Drosophila melanogaster: one gene and its partners. The gene in region 4 interacts genetically with the main gene of each other region. Each region holds a gene or a part of one and is shown on either strand. Other genes may lie near its edges. The genes, in order: zip, NiPp1, Tm1 and flw.

The links.
Region 1: of flw (region 4) and zip, changing one suppresses a phenotype caused by changing the other (phenotypic suppression), as found in Drosophila melanogaster (2 studies listed by BioGRID).
Region 2: of flw (region 4) and NiPp1, changing one suppresses a phenotype caused by changing the other (phenotypic suppression), as found in Drosophila melanogaster (2 studies listed by BioGRID).
Region 3: of flw (region 4) and Tm1, changing one suppresses a phenotype caused by changing the other (phenotypic suppression), as found in Drosophila melanogaster (one study listed by BioGRID).

The regions. Positions count from the first base shown.
Region 1 is NT_033778.4:25,008,406-25,013,230, reverse strand, and holds the start of zip (zipper), read left to right. Parts: upstream 1-1,767; 5' UTR 1,768-1,889; coding exon 1,890-1,919; intron 1,920-2,022; exon of another isoform or gene 2,023-2,131; intron 2,132-2,614; coding exon 2,615-2,851; intron 2,852-4,825. UniProt on the Drosophila melanogaster protein: Nonmuscle myosin appears to be responsible for cellularization. Required for morphogenesis and cytokinesis. Necessary for auditory transduction: plays a role in Johnston's organ organization by acting in scolopidial apical attachment.
Region 2 is NT_033778.4:17,003,063-17,006,924, reverse strand, and holds NiPp1 (nuclear inhibitor of protein phosphatase 1), read left to right. Parts: upstream 1-1,775; 5' UTR 1,776-1,866; coding exon 1,867-1,895; intron 1,896-1,957; coding exon 1,958-2,172; intron 2,173-2,227; coding exon 2,228-2,442; intron 2,443-2,503; coding exon 2,504-3,074; intron 3,075-3,134; coding exon 3,135-3,256; 3' UTR 3,257-3,362; downstream 3,363-3,862. Other genes in the region: CG6805 (uncharacterized protein), read right to left, coding at 1-136, 418-1,164; AsnRS-m (Asparaginyl-tRNA synthetase, mitochondrial), read right to left, coding at 3,387-3,862.
Region 3 is NT_033777.3:15,279,878-15,284,604, forward strand, and holds the start of Tm1 (tropomyosin 1), read left to right. Parts: upstream 1-1,672; 5' UTR 1,673-1,726; exon of another isoform or gene 1,727-1,980; intron 1,981-4,727. UniProt on the Drosophila melanogaster protein: Tropomyosin, in association with the troponin complex, plays a central role in the calcium dependent regulation of muscle contraction.
Region 4 is NC_004354.4:10,384,018-10,388,977, forward strand, and holds the start of flw (flapwing), read left to right. Parts: upstream 1-1,942; 5' UTR 1,943-2,494; coding exon 2,495-2,546; intron 2,547-4,425; coding exon 4,426-4,818; intron 4,819-4,960. Other genes in the region: Psf3 (partner of Sld five 3), read right to left, coding at 269-409, 471-865, 934-1,036. UniProt on the Drosophila melanogaster protein: Required for cell adhesion in non-muscle tissues and in maintenance of muscle attachment. Vital for larval development.

The DNA of each region.
Region 1 (4,825 bases), on a different chromosome or scaffold from region 4:
CCCGGAAGCACTTACAGCTCTGCCGAGTCGTAAATGCAAAGTTCCACGGCCCCCATTTACTCAACGACGTATGCTTATTAGGTCGAACGTGCCCTGTCACGGGACTCCGGGCCAGGAAAGCCGTCTGCGGCATGGTTTCCGGACGGGCCCCATCCGATTCCAGCCCAGTAATAAAGGCCTTTGATTATGTTGCCCCGGGATCCCTTGGGAACGGGCAAACCTTGTTGTCTACCGCTTGTCTGGTCTTTCATAATTTACAGCCTCCCAAAAAAGCGGAATGGAAGCACCGACGCAGTTCTCTGTCCTTTGAAGATTTTGCAAGTTTAATTTATGTGGGTTTGTTTTTTCTTTTCTACTAGCAGTCTCAGCGCACATTAAAAATTCATTATCAGCATAAAGCTGGAAGGTTTCGGGAAGATGGGGTGGCTCAGCTTACCACGACAATTTTGTGGAAAACCAGGAACTACACGTGCAATTATTATCGCTGTCTGACCCAGTTGCTTCAAGGAGAAACGATGGCTTACCTGAATCGATAATTCCTGGCTGCACGTTAGTTTGTCATCCAATGAATCCTATTCGGAGTCCCTCACTTAGGATTCTGGAAACGAGAAACCATAGACAAAACGTGAGAGTTTTGCGGAACTAGTCGCGACTTCTTCTTATCCTTAACAAAGCACTCGCGACAACAACAATCGATTCTGTTCGTTTGCAGTTATTTCTTCCGCAAATGCAAATTGAATTCGCTATTGCGCTCTAATTTCGGCACATACACACGCATACGCACTCTCGCCACACATACACACGAACACAGAGAAACTGGTCAGCAGGCGAATGACGTCATTGCCAAGGATGCTGCGCGCATCTCAAGAACGCTGCCAGAAGTAGCACTTCATTTAAGGAACTGTGTTCTTGCTCTTAGTTGGAATCACTCAAGTCCGTTTCCCCAGAATTAAAAGTTCGCAAGGAGCCCGCCAGATATTTTATTAAAGTCAATTTAATTGCGACTGGCGCCAAGCACTCACATCTGGCTGTGATACTCGGAACTGGACTTACTGATTCAAGCGCGGACCTTCACCGTTCCTCGAAAAATTCAAAATTAACTGAAAGTATCCGCACATCCGCGCATTAACCCAACGGTTTATTGAAGTTTGGTTTTACCAAGAACTGATTCGAAGAGAGGACAGCACGCGAGACCCCGCAAAACACCAAAAACAAAAAGGCGGTAAGGTATTTTGATGTTGTCGTGCGGTCCAACTAAATGAACTACGTATATGTCAAAAGTAAAATCGACATATACGATACTTAGCTTGCACTAATTTGACCAATATTATAAATTGAAAAGTGAGTTGGAAACATCCTTTGCTACATCTGAATATGCAAGTGAGTGAAATCGGCAAAATAATTTAATCTCATTTCTATTCCGGAAGTATTCGATTCCAATCGACACCGCTTGGCTTGAAGCCGCGAATATTTCGATCTTAAGTGCAGTCATGAACCAGAGGAAGCTGATGCGATACTTTGCTAAAAACTTAGATATTCTGTTATAGAGGAATACAATGGCCGACCTGAAAAAATGTTACAGGTGTGTGCTTTAAACAAAATCTAGATGCGATCCATATGTAGAATTTTAATCAGTGTTGACATATCGATGTATGTGTTTTCAGAAAGCGCTGCCGCGGCCGTCGTGTGAACTACGACATATCGATGCATCGATATGTCCGAATGGAATCGGAAGGCATCGATTACCATCGAACTCGAAAAGTACTCGGTCGGCAAAACGGCAAGCGGCGAAAAACAGTGAAAAAAAAAGGGGGAAAGCGAAAAGACGTGCTCAGGAACTGCGGTCGAAGTCTTTGTGAGTGTGTGTGGGTGCAGCTGTCGCCAAACAAATGAAAAGCGCCTGGCTTGCATTAAAATCGGTAAAAAAAAAATCGGAAATGTGCACAGGCATCCAGCGAATGCAGCGACCTATTCGCCGGCGTCGGGACGCCGCCAGCTGAAACTGCACGGTCGAATTTGGCTGCATTTGCACAAACGCTGTGCTGACGCGGGGAAATGGGAGCATAAAAACCGAAACTTGTGTGCGAAATATGCGAATATGCGAAACCTTGGCTCCCAGTGCGATCTATGTGTGTGTGTGTGTGAGCCGTGCTGTGTGTCGGTGTTGCAGAACGAACCAAGTGGGAAGCAAAGCGAGAGAAGACGAAGAGGAAGAAAAAGAGCCGCTTGTACCTGCTCCGAAAACTGAAACATCCGAAATCGGAGGTGAAAAGGTGCTCTGATAGTGTTTAGCTGCAGTTTTAGGAGATGCAAACTGGTTAATTGCTACGTAACGCTATTTTTCCGCTAAATTACTTCACCACCCCTTCTTCTACGTTCAGCGGTGACTTTGGCTTAAGAAAATGAAAATGTGTGGCCATATTTTTTCCTCTCCGTCTTTCTTTCGCCTTCGCGCTCTCCCTTTTGAAACTCTCGCCGCGCGCTGTTCTCGCCGCCTCCGTTTTGTGCCGCACTTCCGAGATAAAGAACGCAAACGCGAGATAAATGCGAAATATTGTATCTGAGGAGCGAGGCAACATACTCATTGTTCTCATCGATTTGTTTTGTCCGACAGAAAAGTGCATTGCATCCGAAAAGCGAATATCCAGTATCCAATATCCATTATCCGAAAGCAGCTAATTACCGACAGACAAGGAATTATTTAGAGATCGCCGCCAAAATGTCGGAGGAAGTAGATCGCAACGATCCGGAGCTCAAGTACCTCTCGGTGGAGCGCAACCAGTTCAACGATCCGGCCACGCAGGCCGAGTGGACACAGAAGCGTCTGGTGTGGGTGCCACACGAGAACCAGGTGAGTCTACTTAAATGTAATGCCTACCCGTAGAGCATGTTCCTACTCTGGACGCAACCTCTGCTACGGGATTTCTACCCCGGAAGCCACGCCCGTTTCAGTGAACTACCTGAATAGACCCTATAGATAGCCTAAATGCAACAGGAACTGCTACAACTGAGATAAAAATACAGTCGATACATCATAACGCTGTTTATTTCGTGAAGTCGGTAGTCATTAGCCCATTATGGTTTTTTTTTTTTTTTTTGTAAAATTACCAAATGTACTTAATTTTCGTTTAATTTTCATATTCTTTTGCGTAAAAAATTGCTACATGTAACTATCTAATATCTAAGTATTACTTCGCAGTGAATGGTTATTATAGAACATAGTGTGTTCGACACATCGTGATAATATTTTAGCCCTAGCTGTACGTGCTCTAATCAATTTTCACAGTGTTTGTCCCCGGCTTTGCGCTTCTTATCAGCCAACACCTTTTGAGCCATCCGACTCACTCATCGATTGGTCATGAATCACGCTTCACCGATCCGTTTATTTTTAATTTTGAACAGGCCCAACTTCTTTGAATTTTCATTACATTCGCACCGCGGTGATAAACTTGGGTAAACATCCGTTGGCGTCGATGCTGAATCACTCTTTTCTCCTGCGCTGATGCTGAATTAATCTCACCGTAGTAGTGTGACACATTTAACTTCTTACTTGGTCAAATCCGCGACCATTTGGTACCAATTTGCATGCAGACGCTCTTCGACTCAGTGACTCACCTCCGAGGGAGAGTGGAAGCAGGAATGGCCCCAGTTCGCAGTTCCCACTAAGAGCGGGCCAAAACAAGTTTTCAATGTGGCTAGGTATTTGTGGTGTGGACTTGCTTGTGTGGGGCTTTCTGGCCTCAACCACACAGCCAGGCCAGCAAAGAAACGAGCCGAGATTGCGCCAAAGAATCGCTTCCCTCGGAGTTCGGGCGCCCGCTCTTGGCCTATAAATTCAAATTCAAAACTTTGGTCGACTGCTAGCGATCAAGCCTTATGATAACAAGCCGATTGTTTTGCTAATTTCGGTGTGGCTTGTTATTCTCTTCTTCAGTTTAAAGCGATTTCATTCAGGTGTCATTCAACTGCATTCCAACGACTTAATTTCAAGACCATAAAAAACGTAAACAGATAAAATTATCAACCGCTCCTTTCTCCCCTGGCTGCCCGTAATTGCTGTATTTGCCAGAGATAATTCCGTACATAGAATGGTAGCACTTTTGGGTGACTTCGTATAATAAAAGCAACATCGAAAACAAAAGCCAACAACTTCACATTTTTGTGTAATTACGCGATCACTTTAACAGACATTTACTTTACAATGGAATCTCACAAAAAGACAACGGCAGAGATAAAACCCAGAAATAAAACGAAAATAACGAAACGCTCGATTGTCATGAGTGGTCCGTCAGATTGTCTAAAGGCTAAAATTTCTTTGCGACTGACGAACGGCACATGAGACGGGTGGAAATAGTTAAGAAATTTGCATATAGCGCAACTGTTGCTCCGCTGGAATGTCCACAGATACAGCTACGTCTTAACGGGAACGGACCCGTCCAAAAGGGTATTCGCCAATTGTGTCAACACTCGTTTCGTTTCCAGCAACTGTTCCAGCTTTTCGAAATGTAAGCGAATTCGCTGAATAATGGCGGCGTCAGTCCACGTACGTGATATCCAAATTCAGTAATTTACTGGTGGATACACAAGGAGACCTTTTGTTCGTGGCTACATTTCGTTTCATGTTGTTTGCTGAACAGCGATGATTCATCGAATCAATTGCACAGAGAGCAAGTTTATTGGTGGGGATTAGATATATTGTACATTGAAGGTTTCGGGTTATAGGTTAATGTATATTTGCGATCTTGAAACTATTTAAATGCTTTTAATAGTTCATAGCTTACTTTTCCATTGTCCAACGATGAAATTGAAAAGTTAATACTTTGGA
Region 2 (3,862 bases), on a different chromosome or scaffold from region 4:
CCATGTGGGACTGATAAGACAGCTGGTTGGCACTCAGGGTAATGCCCGGATAAATGTTGCTCTGCACGCGATGCAAAATCCGATCGCACCAGGCGGGTCGCCGCTTCAAGTTGTAGTCATTAGTGCCTTCCACGAACTGCAAGGAAAATCAAATGAACTTTATATGGGTGCTAGAGATAAGGCGAATTAATTACATTCGACATATTGCCTCATAAATTAGTTGGATTTTGCTTTTCTCATGAAATCTGTGGAGCCGAATGAAGTGATTGATTGATGAAGTGATTGGCGGAAATTAAAAATTCAAGTGCAGATAAAATTAATTACACCCACCCCTATATACATTATTTAGATTAAGATTAGAAAGTTCAAGGCAAACTTTGACTGTAGAGATAATAAGATTGTATATTAGATTGTTACCTTAAAAGTGGGCGCAAAGTTGGGCTGCTGCTCCTCCAGCAAGCTGAAGGCGTTTCCCTTCTCCCGGAGCAGATTCAACTGGTCGAGCTTGAGCAGATCAGCGTATCGCTGGTTCTCCACATCCGTGCGGACATCCCAAGCGGACATATCGCCGGAGAGACGGAAGTTAAGATCGCCAAACCAAAAGACAAAGTCGTGATCGAATATCCGGCGATATCCCTGCGCATTGTACTTGTGATTGTCCACGATTTGGTGATAGTCTTCGATGCGCTCCTTCAGCTTCTCATCGTGCGCCGCCAGATGGGAGCAGACGAATGCGACGCCAGTTCCGTAGAGCGAAAGTCGAATGCTTACGGCACCCTTGTTGCCCCACAGCCCTCCAAGTCCCGTGCGCGTGGCTTCTGTCTCGATTTCTTTCATGTGCGGGATGTGCTTGTGCTGTGCGAACATGGTTATAAGAATTCCCTGCAGCTGCTTCGAGTCCACCTTTACGAACTGGTGATCGCTCAGAGAGTCCGCGATCTTCAGCACCCACGGATCGTCATTGAAGATTTTTAGCACCTGCGGTGTGGTGCTCACCTCCTGGAATCCGATTACATAGATATCGGGCAGCTGGTTATCCGGACAAGTGGTGGTGCCATTAAGGGACAAAAGGGAGCTCAGATCCTGATTTCGCGGCGTATGGGTGCCCACGTTCCAGGTCAAAAGGAAGATGCACAGATCCGCAATCGCCGTGGCCGTAACCATTTTTCCGCCGTCTAATTATCTATGATTAATACTTGTTGTTTTGGACGTCACAAGGTGGCTGTTGATGAGTTCATGGGCATCCAAAACAGGTTTACGGATTTGGCAGCATCAGCAAATAAAGCGAAAGGCGTTTTGCACACGCAACTTTCATTTATGTAACCGTTAATTCTTCAGCACTAATTTTTTAAGCCGCTTTAATTGGACTAGGAAGCGCTAGTTGCCCGTATTATTTATAGAATACTCAGATGTCGTTATTTATGTTTATTTGTCCGTCCGTTGCGTGAGCTTAGTGTGACCGCAGCACAACTATTTAAATATACCTTAGGCGGCGGCAAAAATTTTATGGTATCTCGATAGTAACGGAGCTCTGAAGCTCATCGAAAACATCGGCTAACATGAGCTTCTCATCTAATTTAGATTTTTATTTGAAACACATTAGATATTATAAAAGCCAAAAATCAATTTAAGAAATATAAAGATATAAGATTAAAAGTTGTACTGTGCGTAAGTTCCTTTAAAATAATAATACTCTTATTTCATTGTTTTTTTTTTTACGCGAGAATGCCCCTTTGCATTTGCTTGTGCTAAACCGATATTATCGGCAACTAGTCAATTGTGTGTACACACTGGCTAAGGATTTTTCATAAAAATAAACACTTTGTATAAACTTACCTTCCGAACTATTTTACTTAAGTTAAAAGTATGGCTAACAGCTACGACATACCCAGTTGGTGCGTTGTCAAATTCAGCCGCTGCCTTGCCACAAAATCACGTAGCATTTTATTTATTTTAGGGCTGGAAAACCGCCCACTGGCTTACATCTGGATGTGCTAAAGGACGACAAACTAGTACAAAAACTGATGGTGGATGAAAAAAGATGCTATCTATTTGGTCGCAACAGTCAAATGAACGACTTCTGCATAGACCATGCCTCTTGTTCGCGGGTCCACTCGGCGTTTGTCTACCACAAGCACCTCAACATAGCCTACCTCGTGGATCTGGGGTCCAGTAGGTACTAAGATATCTGGGATTCGGAGTAAGCTTATCCATTTACTTTTGACAGCTCATGGCACCTTTATTGGAACACTCAGATTGGAAGCGCACAAGCCCACACAGCTGCAGATTAATAGCACCTTCCACTTTGGGGCTTCTACCCGGAACTACATACTCAGGGAACGACCCTCTGGCCACCACAGCAACATCATGGAAGACCTGCCGCTCAGTGAAACCAGCGATGGAGCTCTCCTGGGCCTACCCGAAAGCCAAACGGAGCTTGATGTGCGTTTGGTTGAAAAGAAAAGCTAAATACTATGTAAACTAACCTTCCATTATCCTGCAGAATCTCACAGAATACAACACAGCCCACAATCGGCGCATCTCAATGCTGGGCATCGATGATGATACCAATATGCGAAAGCAAAACGCCTTGAAACAGGGACGGCGCACTCGAAATGTCACATTTAACGATGAGGAGATTGTCATCAATCCTGAGGATGTGGATCCTAATGTGGGACGCTTCAGGAACTTGGTACAAACCACTGTGGTGCCCGCCAAGAGGGCTCGCTGCGACGTCAATCATATGGGCATCCATTCGGGCAACAGCAGTTTGTCCAGTGCCAATGCCGCACATGTACACCAAATGTTCCAGCAGAGCCTAGTTGACATGAAGCAGCAGCATAGGGAAATGCCTCCGCCCAATGCGGTGCTCCACTCGCCTACTAATTCCCTATATCAAGGTCTACCGGCCGAAATGCATGGCAAGGGTGACCTAGAGCCCATCTCCCCGCTGAGCATTGGTTCCAAGTTGGGCCTATTGCTCCCGAATCCTGCGCCTGAAGTGCTGCCAGTCTATGACGAAGCTGTGGAGACCTCGACATTGGCTCAAAAGTTGGCCGTCGCTAATGCAAACGGTAATAGTTCTCGCGACTATTTGTTTAAAAACTTACTGATTGTTTATAACACCATTTTAGTTCGTCGCTTTGGTGAGGATCCGCATGACTCGAGTGGCGAAGGCGATTCGCTGTGCCCACAGAAAAAGAAATACGCCAAGGAAGCATGGCCAGGTCGCAAGCCCATGTTGGGGCAGCTGTAATTGCGTATTAACAAAATAATTAAGATTCCACCTACGATTTTCTCAAGCATATGATTGACAACACACTCTGGAGTAATATTTGTTTATTAGACTTTTAACGTAAAACAAAACATTTAATATCTTTATCTGATCACATCTTGCAGCTGTGTGGATACCTGGGGAAGGGTATCACATCACGAATGTTTTTAACGCCCGTGACAAGCTGCAAGTAACGCTCAAAGCCCATTCCAAATCCTCCAGTTGGAACTCCTCCATACTTTCGCAAGTCAACGTACCATTCCAGATCCTTCGGCAGATGCGGATGGGATTTTAATATAGCAGGATCGCTTTCACGCAGGCTCCCGCCGCATAATTCTCCAACAGCTGGCATCAGTAGGTCTAGGGCATGAACTCGATTGGGATTTGAACGCGAGACTTTCATGTAAAAAGGTTTCTGCTGAGCTGGCCAATCCACAACGAATACGGGAGCACCACAATGGGCCACTAAAAAAAGTTCTTGGTCCTTGGAGAATCCTTCGTTCAGGCTAATAGGAGTCTTAAGACTGTCCTTGTTTTCCTGCAGTACTTGCAGGGCTTCATCGTAGCTCATTATCTTCCACGGTACTT
Region 3 (4,727 bases), on a different chromosome or scaffold from region 4:
TTCGACGTTTTCTCAAGGGTCTTTTCCATGTCTATGTCTTCTTTGTTTTTTTTTTTCTTTGTCTTTATAAATATATTGATCTAGTTTTCTTGCTTCGAAAACTTTTTGTTTTTAATGAATACAATTACGTCATTTTGTGGGTGTTGTTTGAGTTAATTTTAAAATTTTCATCAACCTCGGACTGGCAAATGTTCTCCAAGATAAGAGAACAACAAAAAATGGAATAAGTAAATACATATATGTATATATGTTGGGGCTATCAAATTGGCTTATATTTATAGGTTTATATTTAAAGACTTTAGTTGCATTCGAACATATAAGATCTCCAACAATTTTGTTGGCGATAAGATTAAAAGGGCGTGATCAACGAGTAAGCAAGCAATCTAGAAGGGCAAATATGCATATCACCAGATCGGAAACTCAACGATTATGGGGAAACTGAATTTCAACCGTTTTCACGTTTGCAATTTAAAAAAGCATGAATCATGGATGCATTTTCTTGCGAGACAGTTACAAAAAAACGTATACTTTCATATGTGACATTTATGATTGCCAGCAAAATGTTTTCCGTTCGCAGACATGACGTTGAAAAATCTATAGAAAGAGCTTTAATATATAGAGCAGAAAATAATAATCTGTAGACCTATGGGGGAAATACGTACGTATAACTACGTGAAACAAGATTTTTTGGCATATCAATAACTGAAAATTAAAAATAGAAGTTGAGAACATCAAAAAGCAAAACAAAACGATCCCCAAACCAATACACTCTCATCGGGAAAAGAGACACGATTGCCTAAGTATTGGATATATTTTGCAATGGGCAAAAACACTGGGTGAAAAGAGCTTTTCAAAATACGGGGAAATATTCAAAAATAGGCTGAAAGAAAGGCATTCGATTCGAAATGAGTGAGCATTACCCATACATGTGCAGCGAACAGGTGAAAGCACCAAGGAAAGGATCGGAAAAGAGAGGCAGAGAGAAAGCGGAGAGAGAGCGCAGGCGCCGGGCTTGAATGTGTGTGTATAAATTGTAACTGTATTTGAAATTCTGATCTTATGCTTTCCGTTACACTGGCAGAAATCGGATAGGAACATAAATTAAATATATTACGGGCTGAGGGGTAAAGAAATGTTGTACAGCTTTCTTAACTGGCATAGCCCATTTCACTTTGGAGTATTTTCTGAATGAAAAAAACATTTAATATAATTTATAAATGAATTTCAAAATTCAAATTTGTAATAACAAAAGTAGCATGAGTAAATGATGATAAATGATAAGTGCGACATAAATTTATAAATACATTAAATCAAAAGTGCATATTAAATGTCCTGATATTAGAAAGCATGCATGATTACATTAAATATGAGTATATAAATAAGAACAAATGCACCCCTTTGTTGATTTCGCGCAGTGTATAAGCTATTGTACCCCGGCCGAGCAATTTACCGATGCTCTTGGGGTAAATTGAGAGCCAAGTGCAGTTCCAAAGTAGGCGCAGACAGCAACAACATATGCTCGCTTTTGGCCGAAAAGTGCGCACTCTCGCACACAGATACTCACGCACACAGGCGCACTAGCGCGGCGGCTCACACGCACACACACCAGCGCAAGCCGCTCGAAATCGACCAAGCGGCGAGCATCGAACGTCAACATATTGAATAAATATTTTCAGTTGAACATCACAATCCGTTCAAGTCGCGGATAACTCCGAATAAAAGTTTTGTAAGTAAAAAGGAATACGTTATCGTTGATCAGTAAAAAATTATACAAAAAAAAATACAAAGATATCGCTGAATATTTCCACAAAAATACTTGTCGAGTGCTTCAAAAATAATTTTAACTGTGCTAGAATTCGATTCTTATTTAAAAAAAAGGATCGAACCAAAAAGTATAATTACATAACCACAACGTTGCTGCAATATCTAACTTAAAATCCACCAAAGTGCTGTGCAATTCTCAACCCTAATCATCCGCAAGTATTGAAAAAAATTGAAAATTTTCCCAGTTAGAATCGAAATAAACCCAAATAGAGGTTAAGCACCTTTGCAGATCGCGAAAAAAAAACTAAGAATAACGATTCTGGGGACCTTGTCAAGTTTGTCTGCTAACCGCAAGTTGCTATATAGGGTTTCAGCTAAACGTATTTCATGAGATATATAAACATGGTCAGTGGGAACTTCGAACGATCTTAGATTTTAGCGGCAGAAGTAAAGAATTAAGGCAAAAGGAGGATTATCGAGCTCTCTTTCCTCCTTTCAGAAACTAAAATTGTCATGTTGTATATGAGAAAGTAAGGGAATCATTCTTAAGATAAAGATCAATGAGATAGACTTCAAGATAGCTATCCTTGCTATGGAATGGTTTCCTGAATTATAATTTTCTTTAATCCAAAATGTTTAGGAATTCATTGAGCCTATTTTCCAAGTAACTGGGCAACACGCGCATTTACTTTGCAGTTTTGTATCTTTGAAATCTGATCCACGACCGCTGGCCCTAGCTGCCAAATGAATCTGAAGCGAACGTAGGCGAAATGCGCCAAGAATTTCCCAGAAAGCTCCCTTCCTCTCAGCTTAGTATTAAGTAATATCCGTGGAGAGGCTAGATATTCAACAGATGCCTCGGCTGTCCTATTTTTAGATACAATCCGTGTGTGCTACAGATACTAAACAGTGAAATAGAGAGCAGGAAAGCTGCTAGAGTATCGCCCAAGGCATTTGGCTAAAGAATCTATATGCATTAGACCCATTTGAACCAACGTGTGTATATATCGTACTCTAAGAATAGAAAATTCTGTATTCTGTATGATTAAATTCCGAATTTTCCATGCGATAATTTGTAAATTTTGTGTGGAAAGGTAGATCTTATAAGGTCGGATACAGATGGAAAATATCTGTAACTTGTAAACTAGGCAGAAAAGTAGGAATTGCGAGGTGCCAGTTCATAAGGATGGCTTGTTAGTTGGCCATAGTTAGTTAGATATAAAAAATGAGTTATACATATACGCATTTTGTTTCCTGAAATATTAACTTTGTTCCTAATGATAACGTCATTTCTTGATAAGGATGATCTTAATACTCATAAACCTCTTTGGTGTAGGCCCATTTTTCGATTATATATATGTCATTGCCGAAAGTTATAAGATGTCATGGGAATTTTGTGCTGAATCAACGCAAACATAACTCAATGTGTCACCTTAATCGACTTATGGCCCATACACATGCAGATTTATATATATATATATATGTATATCTGTGTGTTTTTTAAGCGAACAAAAAATTTGCCTCGATTGCGTTTTCATTAAAATTCAACGTTTTTTTTTTTTGGCTTTGGCTTTATTCGATTGGCGCTTTTTTCTCCAATGCCACTTCTCTTCGGCGGATCAGGCACAGGAATGTAAACAGAGTTTTTAAAAATAAATGCATGTTTAAGGCAGAACCACACAACAAATGACAGCGATGAGCCGTAATAAAGAATTAAAATTTCACGCGGCGAAATTCGAGTCAATTAGCCGCCGGCTGCACTCGGTTCGAGCCATGACAAATGTTGGTCAAGTGGGTTTCGTGTTGGCCAGGAAAGGCAAAGGGGGTGTCAATGGGCACCAAGGAGGGGCCAAAAAACCCACCAGCTGCGTTCACATTGAGTCAGAAGTCTGGAGCTGCTCGAGAAAAGGGGCAATAGCCCAGTGCAGCTGAGTGATTCATCTTGGGTTTTTAATTCGAGGATGGTAGCTACAGCATCTGCACTTTACTGATAAGAATGCAATTCCAAGATAAAGCGCACATTTGTAAATATAAATTGATTTGAGTAAACATATATGGCACCTAAGAGTATGCAATGATATATGTTAGTTAAAAAAATATATTAAATGAGCTTACTATCATTTCAAATCCTCATTCTACTTTCGAAGATTTAGAAGACTTTATCTATGCAGCAATTTCTTGGCCCAGATTGGAATCTACTGACACAATTTTGGCTGGTGACAGAACTCTCTATTCGAGAATGTACCCAGTTCGTCCAGCTTCGTTTGGCTCCACACCACGCGATCCGATGTGATCTGCATAAATAAACACCCTGCTTTCGGTGTTTCGAAGTATATCCCAGAAAATAAGGTTCAATTTTAGGTATTCTCGTTTAAATGATTTACTGTGACGAGATGAGAAAACACTCTCAAAGTTCAGAACATCAGCGAAAGAATCGGACAATAAAAGTCGTGAAGAGACGCCGTCGAAATATTAAATTCTCAATTTATCAGTTGGCTAAGCTCGAACAATGCGACTGACTGGCATCGAAAAGGGGGCCTTGGTTGTTTCGGTTTTGGCCAGGCCGAATAATTTATTGACTCTGCCACCTTTCGTCCAAAAATGGCTATCCATTATTGCAAAAAACTCGCTGTGTAGCTTGAAATGGAAGAAAGATCTGCCAGTTATTTTGATAACATGCAGATAAGATGGGAGCTTTAAAGTTATGAATTTAAATACATATATGTGCAGAAATCAGATTGCAGGATCCTCATGTAAATACACAAGTTATAAAATTGCTAAATTAATCATAAAATGCAAATGCATTTTCCATATAGTTTCACTTTCGCACAAGCCATGTTTGGACTTGAATACTACTCCCCTTGCACTTGCTGATTATCGCATAAATCTGCTAATTGCTTTATTGGCTTGCACTTAACCATGGTTTTAGCCGCAATCTCATCTCCATCTCCATCTTCGTTTCC
Region 4 (4,960 bases):
TGCCAAGTCAATGAAAAACGCAGAACGGCAGCTCCTATGTGTTTTGTTTAAGACCGGTCCCGGATTGGATGCTTAGTTATGCGTAGATGTATGCGAAACCCATGTATTTTGAACTGTACAAATGGATTTAGCCGTGTGCATAGAGTAGATGAAAAGTGTATTTTTGAGAGGTCAGGCTGCCCTATGGCCACCGAACGAATGGACGAAATAAAGTTGCTACAGTTCCACAGTACATCAGTGGTCTGTTTTTGTTGTTTTACTCTGCTTGTTACAAGGTGGCCCGCTTGCTGTTGGGCAGAGCATCGCCCTCGTCATCGCTGCGATCCGCACGTCGCCGCTTCTTTTGGTGCTCCTCGACCAGCTCCGAGGTGCGAATCTTGTTGCCCGTCATCTGCAGCCATTCGATGTACTGAAATTATGTGATTAATATAACACTCCGTGCCCACTTGACTGGTAGTACAGCCACCCACCTGACTGTTGGTGCGCACTCCAGCCTCGTGCAGCTTGGCCTCGATGTTATCCAGTCGATGCTCCGCCTTGGCTGCCTGTCCGTCGCTCTTCGAGATGTCCAGGAGATGACGTACCCTCTGGCGCAGCGTTTCGAAGATGATGCGGCCGATGACATGGTTGCGATCGTAGGGCGTCAGATAGCGACCGAACTCGTAGAAGTACGGGTGCAGGCGTCCCAGCTCGATGTGCGTGGTCTCCGCCTCGCAGACGGCCTTATGCACATTGCGATAGATATCTGGCACGGCGACGGTGAAGTAGGCATTGTTTACCTTCAGCTCCTTGATGTACCACAACGGCAGATTGACCGTCCTGCCGGGCTCCAGGTCATCCGATTCCGCGCCGGAGTCCAGGAATCCTGCAAGCAACTCAATATTGTCGGATTACTGGCCAGAATGTGCGTGTCCGTCCAAGCCAATCACTTACCCATCCGCTGCAGCTTGGTGTTCACCCGACATTCCACCTTCTCCTGGGTCACGAATATGTCCTCGATGGAGTAATAGTTCGGAAAATAGTTCATTCCGTTCATTGCGCGGCCCAGCTTTATGATTCGTTTGGTGTTTACTTTAGGTAAATTCAATTTCTTAAGTGCGCGACCTATCGCCTATCGATATTAGATGCATTTTGCCGGGGTCTATCGAGGCAGAAACAGCTGTTTGCCTGGATGCCGAGGCACTCGATAGGTTTTATGTACTATATATATCGAAGCATTTATATGTATTATATGTAAATAGTTTTTCCGGAAAATTACTCTTATTTCAGCGCGAATTTTAAATTGCAGCCTGCACTTGACATTTTTTTATACATAAAATTACTAGTCAGGGTATAATTACTCAAAGTTGTAAATGATGTGGAACATGTGAACTCAGCTTAGTAATAGTAATTCGATACGATTGCAATTAGATGGTTACTTCTTCCGCAAGTTCTTAGGCTTATCTGCATCTTTCAAAAACAAATAAAAATAAAGGTTTCGTTCCCGGCAATGACTATTTTGACTTCAATTTCGAACAATTGATCTTAATCTAGCCGTATGATCATCAAGTCGTCGATAAAGTCGCCCATATTAAAAATCATCAATCCACTTGAGATCAAAAATAGCAAAGCCGCGTGCTTCGAGTTTTTCTTGTTGGCGACGAGGAACGGACAGATGGTCGAAAGAGCCATTTCGATTTAGCTATGTGTGTGCAAGGATTAGAGAAATGTGTGTGTAGTTAATATCAGTTAATAACGAAATCATAGGGAGCACACAACTTGTTCGGTCGAGATTTGAGTTCACAGTAAGAAGTTTGAAGGCACGAGCGTTGAAGTGCGAAAAAGGACTTTGACAGTTAACTCCCGCGTTGCTGAGCACTGGCTGGCTTCGTTGCCCATCGGACTATCGATAAAGTCGAACTGTAAAGCCGCCGCCACCAAAAACTTTTTCAGCCTTCCGGCAAACGGTCATACTCAGCTAGCTGTCCGACGAGTTTTGTTATTGGCGGAGAAAAGATTACGCTGGTTTATAAATTCTCAGTTAAGCCGATTTCTCAGCTCCTCTCCCCCTGCAGAGATCTAACACATCTATATAGATATATATATTTTATATATTCCTTGATCGATTTGCGATCCCGAAAGTCGATCAGCCGTGCGTCTATATATTTTTTTTTCTGTTCTTGCCCCTCGTGCAACATCAGTGAACATCAGCGGCCCACCGTACAAAATCTCAATAAGAAAAAAAGAGAGCATAAAGTGAAATTGCCTTTTGCGGCAAGTAAGAAAACGACCAAAAAAGAGAAAAGAATATAACGACTATTTGAATTAAACAAAGTTTATTGTTTACAATAGCATACAATACAAGTTTATAAGCTAACGGGCGTCGCTGTGCGTGTGTGTGTGCTTGTGTGTGCGTGCGTGTAGTTGTTGCGCCAAAAATTCCAATCGGAATTCTGGAACAGCTGGCCACAACAACAAAACGCGGCCAATAGAAGAACAATTTAGCTGCTGAAAAATGGGCGACTTCGATCTGAATGTGGACAGCTTGATACAGCGGCTGCTGGAGAGTAAGTAGATGCGAAATTTCCCCCTCTTTCAATCCTACTTTCCCAAAACCTCCCCCCCAAACCCTCTACGCCCCTCCCACGCCACTGTCCCCATTTTAATTTATTACACAGTTTATCTGCGTGTGTGTGTGTGTGCGATTGCATTTTCTAATTATTGCACATTGTTCGCTTAAATGGTAGTAGGTTTTCTTTTTGTTGTTGCGACAGCCCCTCTCTCTACCGCCGCCGCCGCCACCGCTGCTGCCGCTGCAACCGTTTGAATTTGACTCTTGAATCAATTAGTTTTAATTGATTTTCATTGCTCCTCTTGAAAAACAGCAAAAACCATAAAAACAACAACAACAACAGCGACAGCATCTACGCTACGCTCATTAGCGTTTACATAATACTAACAGTGATCGCGCTGTTAAGCACGCCATCTCTGTCCTGCGCTAATGTCTCCCAAATGATTTTTGGTTTATTAGCTGTGTTTTTTCTTGTTTCGCCTATATTGGCAATGACGTCATCGAGCTGATAAACACGGGCGTGATTCAAACAGAATGTGTAGCTATGAAATCGCCGACGAAGGAATGGAACGGAATCACATGAGTTACTCGATAAGGAGCTTTGTCGCAAGTAACCCCACTGCCCGTTGGAGTGGGATCGCTGTTCGTGTCACGCAACTATCGCTAAAGACGGTTGAGAAATCTACGACCGATATATCCTATATTTCCTAGCCCCCAAGAAGATATTTTTATCCAGCGATCAATATCAATATAATTTTTACTGGGTATCGACCGCTATAGCCGATATCCACTGTATGTGGCTTAGAATGGGTGGTGGGGGCTGTGTCATCGTCGTCATCATGCAACCTTCCTGCAAAGCGTAAAAGCGCTAAATAGTTTACATTTTTGCAACCTCTTCTAGGTTTCGAATGCGATATGCCTTTGCCCTGGTGAAAACCCAACATCTGCGAGGGTTGCTTAAGCCGCTTAGTGCTTGTCTCGTTTTGCAAGTGTCAGCCAATGTCGAAGATACGGCATGGGACGGGATGGGCTTTTCCGCTTTTCCGGGGGGCGGGCCGCCGCCACCATTTGGCTTTAGCTCTGACCGACGCCACGGGGAAATTGCATTTGAACATTGCGATTTTCGGTTTTTGTCCATTTCCGCAATGAGTTTCGCTTTTCTTCCTCCGATTCTGTCTTTCGGTTTCACTTATTTCTTGCGCTGATATGACACGACCCAACTACAGTGGTCATTCGACGGAAGAACACAGCGGAAAAGGAAAACGGAGAAGAATCTTTTCAGATATCGGTTATGTTTCTACGTTATGAAGTATGTAAATATATCATAGAAAGTATATTTCCTTACTTACCGTGTTAGCTACCGAGTGATCACTGTAAACCACTCTCAGCTGCCAAAGCAGATGGGCGATGGGCAAAAGGGGCAGATTGAGCGAGATGGTCGAGGTAGGCCACAACCATTTGTCAAGGTCATCGAGTGGGCTAGGTCATGGCACTACGCCCACCACCCCATCCCCCGAAAAATGCCATTAATTTTGATCTATGAAGCGTCGTCAGCCTCTGTCACCGGCAGCAAAAAAAAAAAAAGAAAATAAAATGGCAAAAGCAGCGGCGGCGGCAGATAAATTTCATTTGTCAAATTGCAAATTGAAATTGAATTTTTAGGGCACTTAGCCGGGCTGTCGTGTTTTCTGGCTCTCGCTTTTCCGAGAAATATGGAAATTTCGCCCTCCTTTTGTGTTCTTTTATGCTTTTTTCCCGCAAGCCCACTCCACCTATCCCACACCCCTTAGTTTTAATAGATCTCTCTCTCTATATATATATATATATGTGTACGTATATATGAATATATATGTATATGTGCATCCATTCGAAAGACTTTAAAAAACAAAAAGAGGCCGAAGAGCACGCCCAGAAGCTGCTAATCGCTCAACAATTGGCCGCCGCCGGCGGAGCATCCGGCGCATCTGCCACATCGCCCACATCCAGCAGCAATTACTCGTCGATGGCGGCGGTGGCCTCCTTTGGATCCGGATACGGATCGGGATCTGGTGCTGGTGCTCCTGGTGCCGGCGCTGGCCCAGGATCCAGCCATGATCCGCTCGACGATCTCACCGAACAGCAGCGCCGTCTGCTCCAGCAATACTCGATATCGCCGCCCAGCGAGACGATGATATCGGCCGATGGCGACCAGATCACCGTCCATCATCCGCGCGAGGAGCCCAAGAAATCCAGATTGAAACTGCGCGATTTTTTCGTCGCCGAGTTTGGTATTACCACTTTCAATCTAAGAACAACCTCCCCTATTGATCACTTTGTCGATGTTTGATGATCATCCATAAGTCCAGTGCAAAAGTAAAAGCCATACTGCAGTGGTCACCATGACCATGAGACTTCATACTCTAAGTAGCG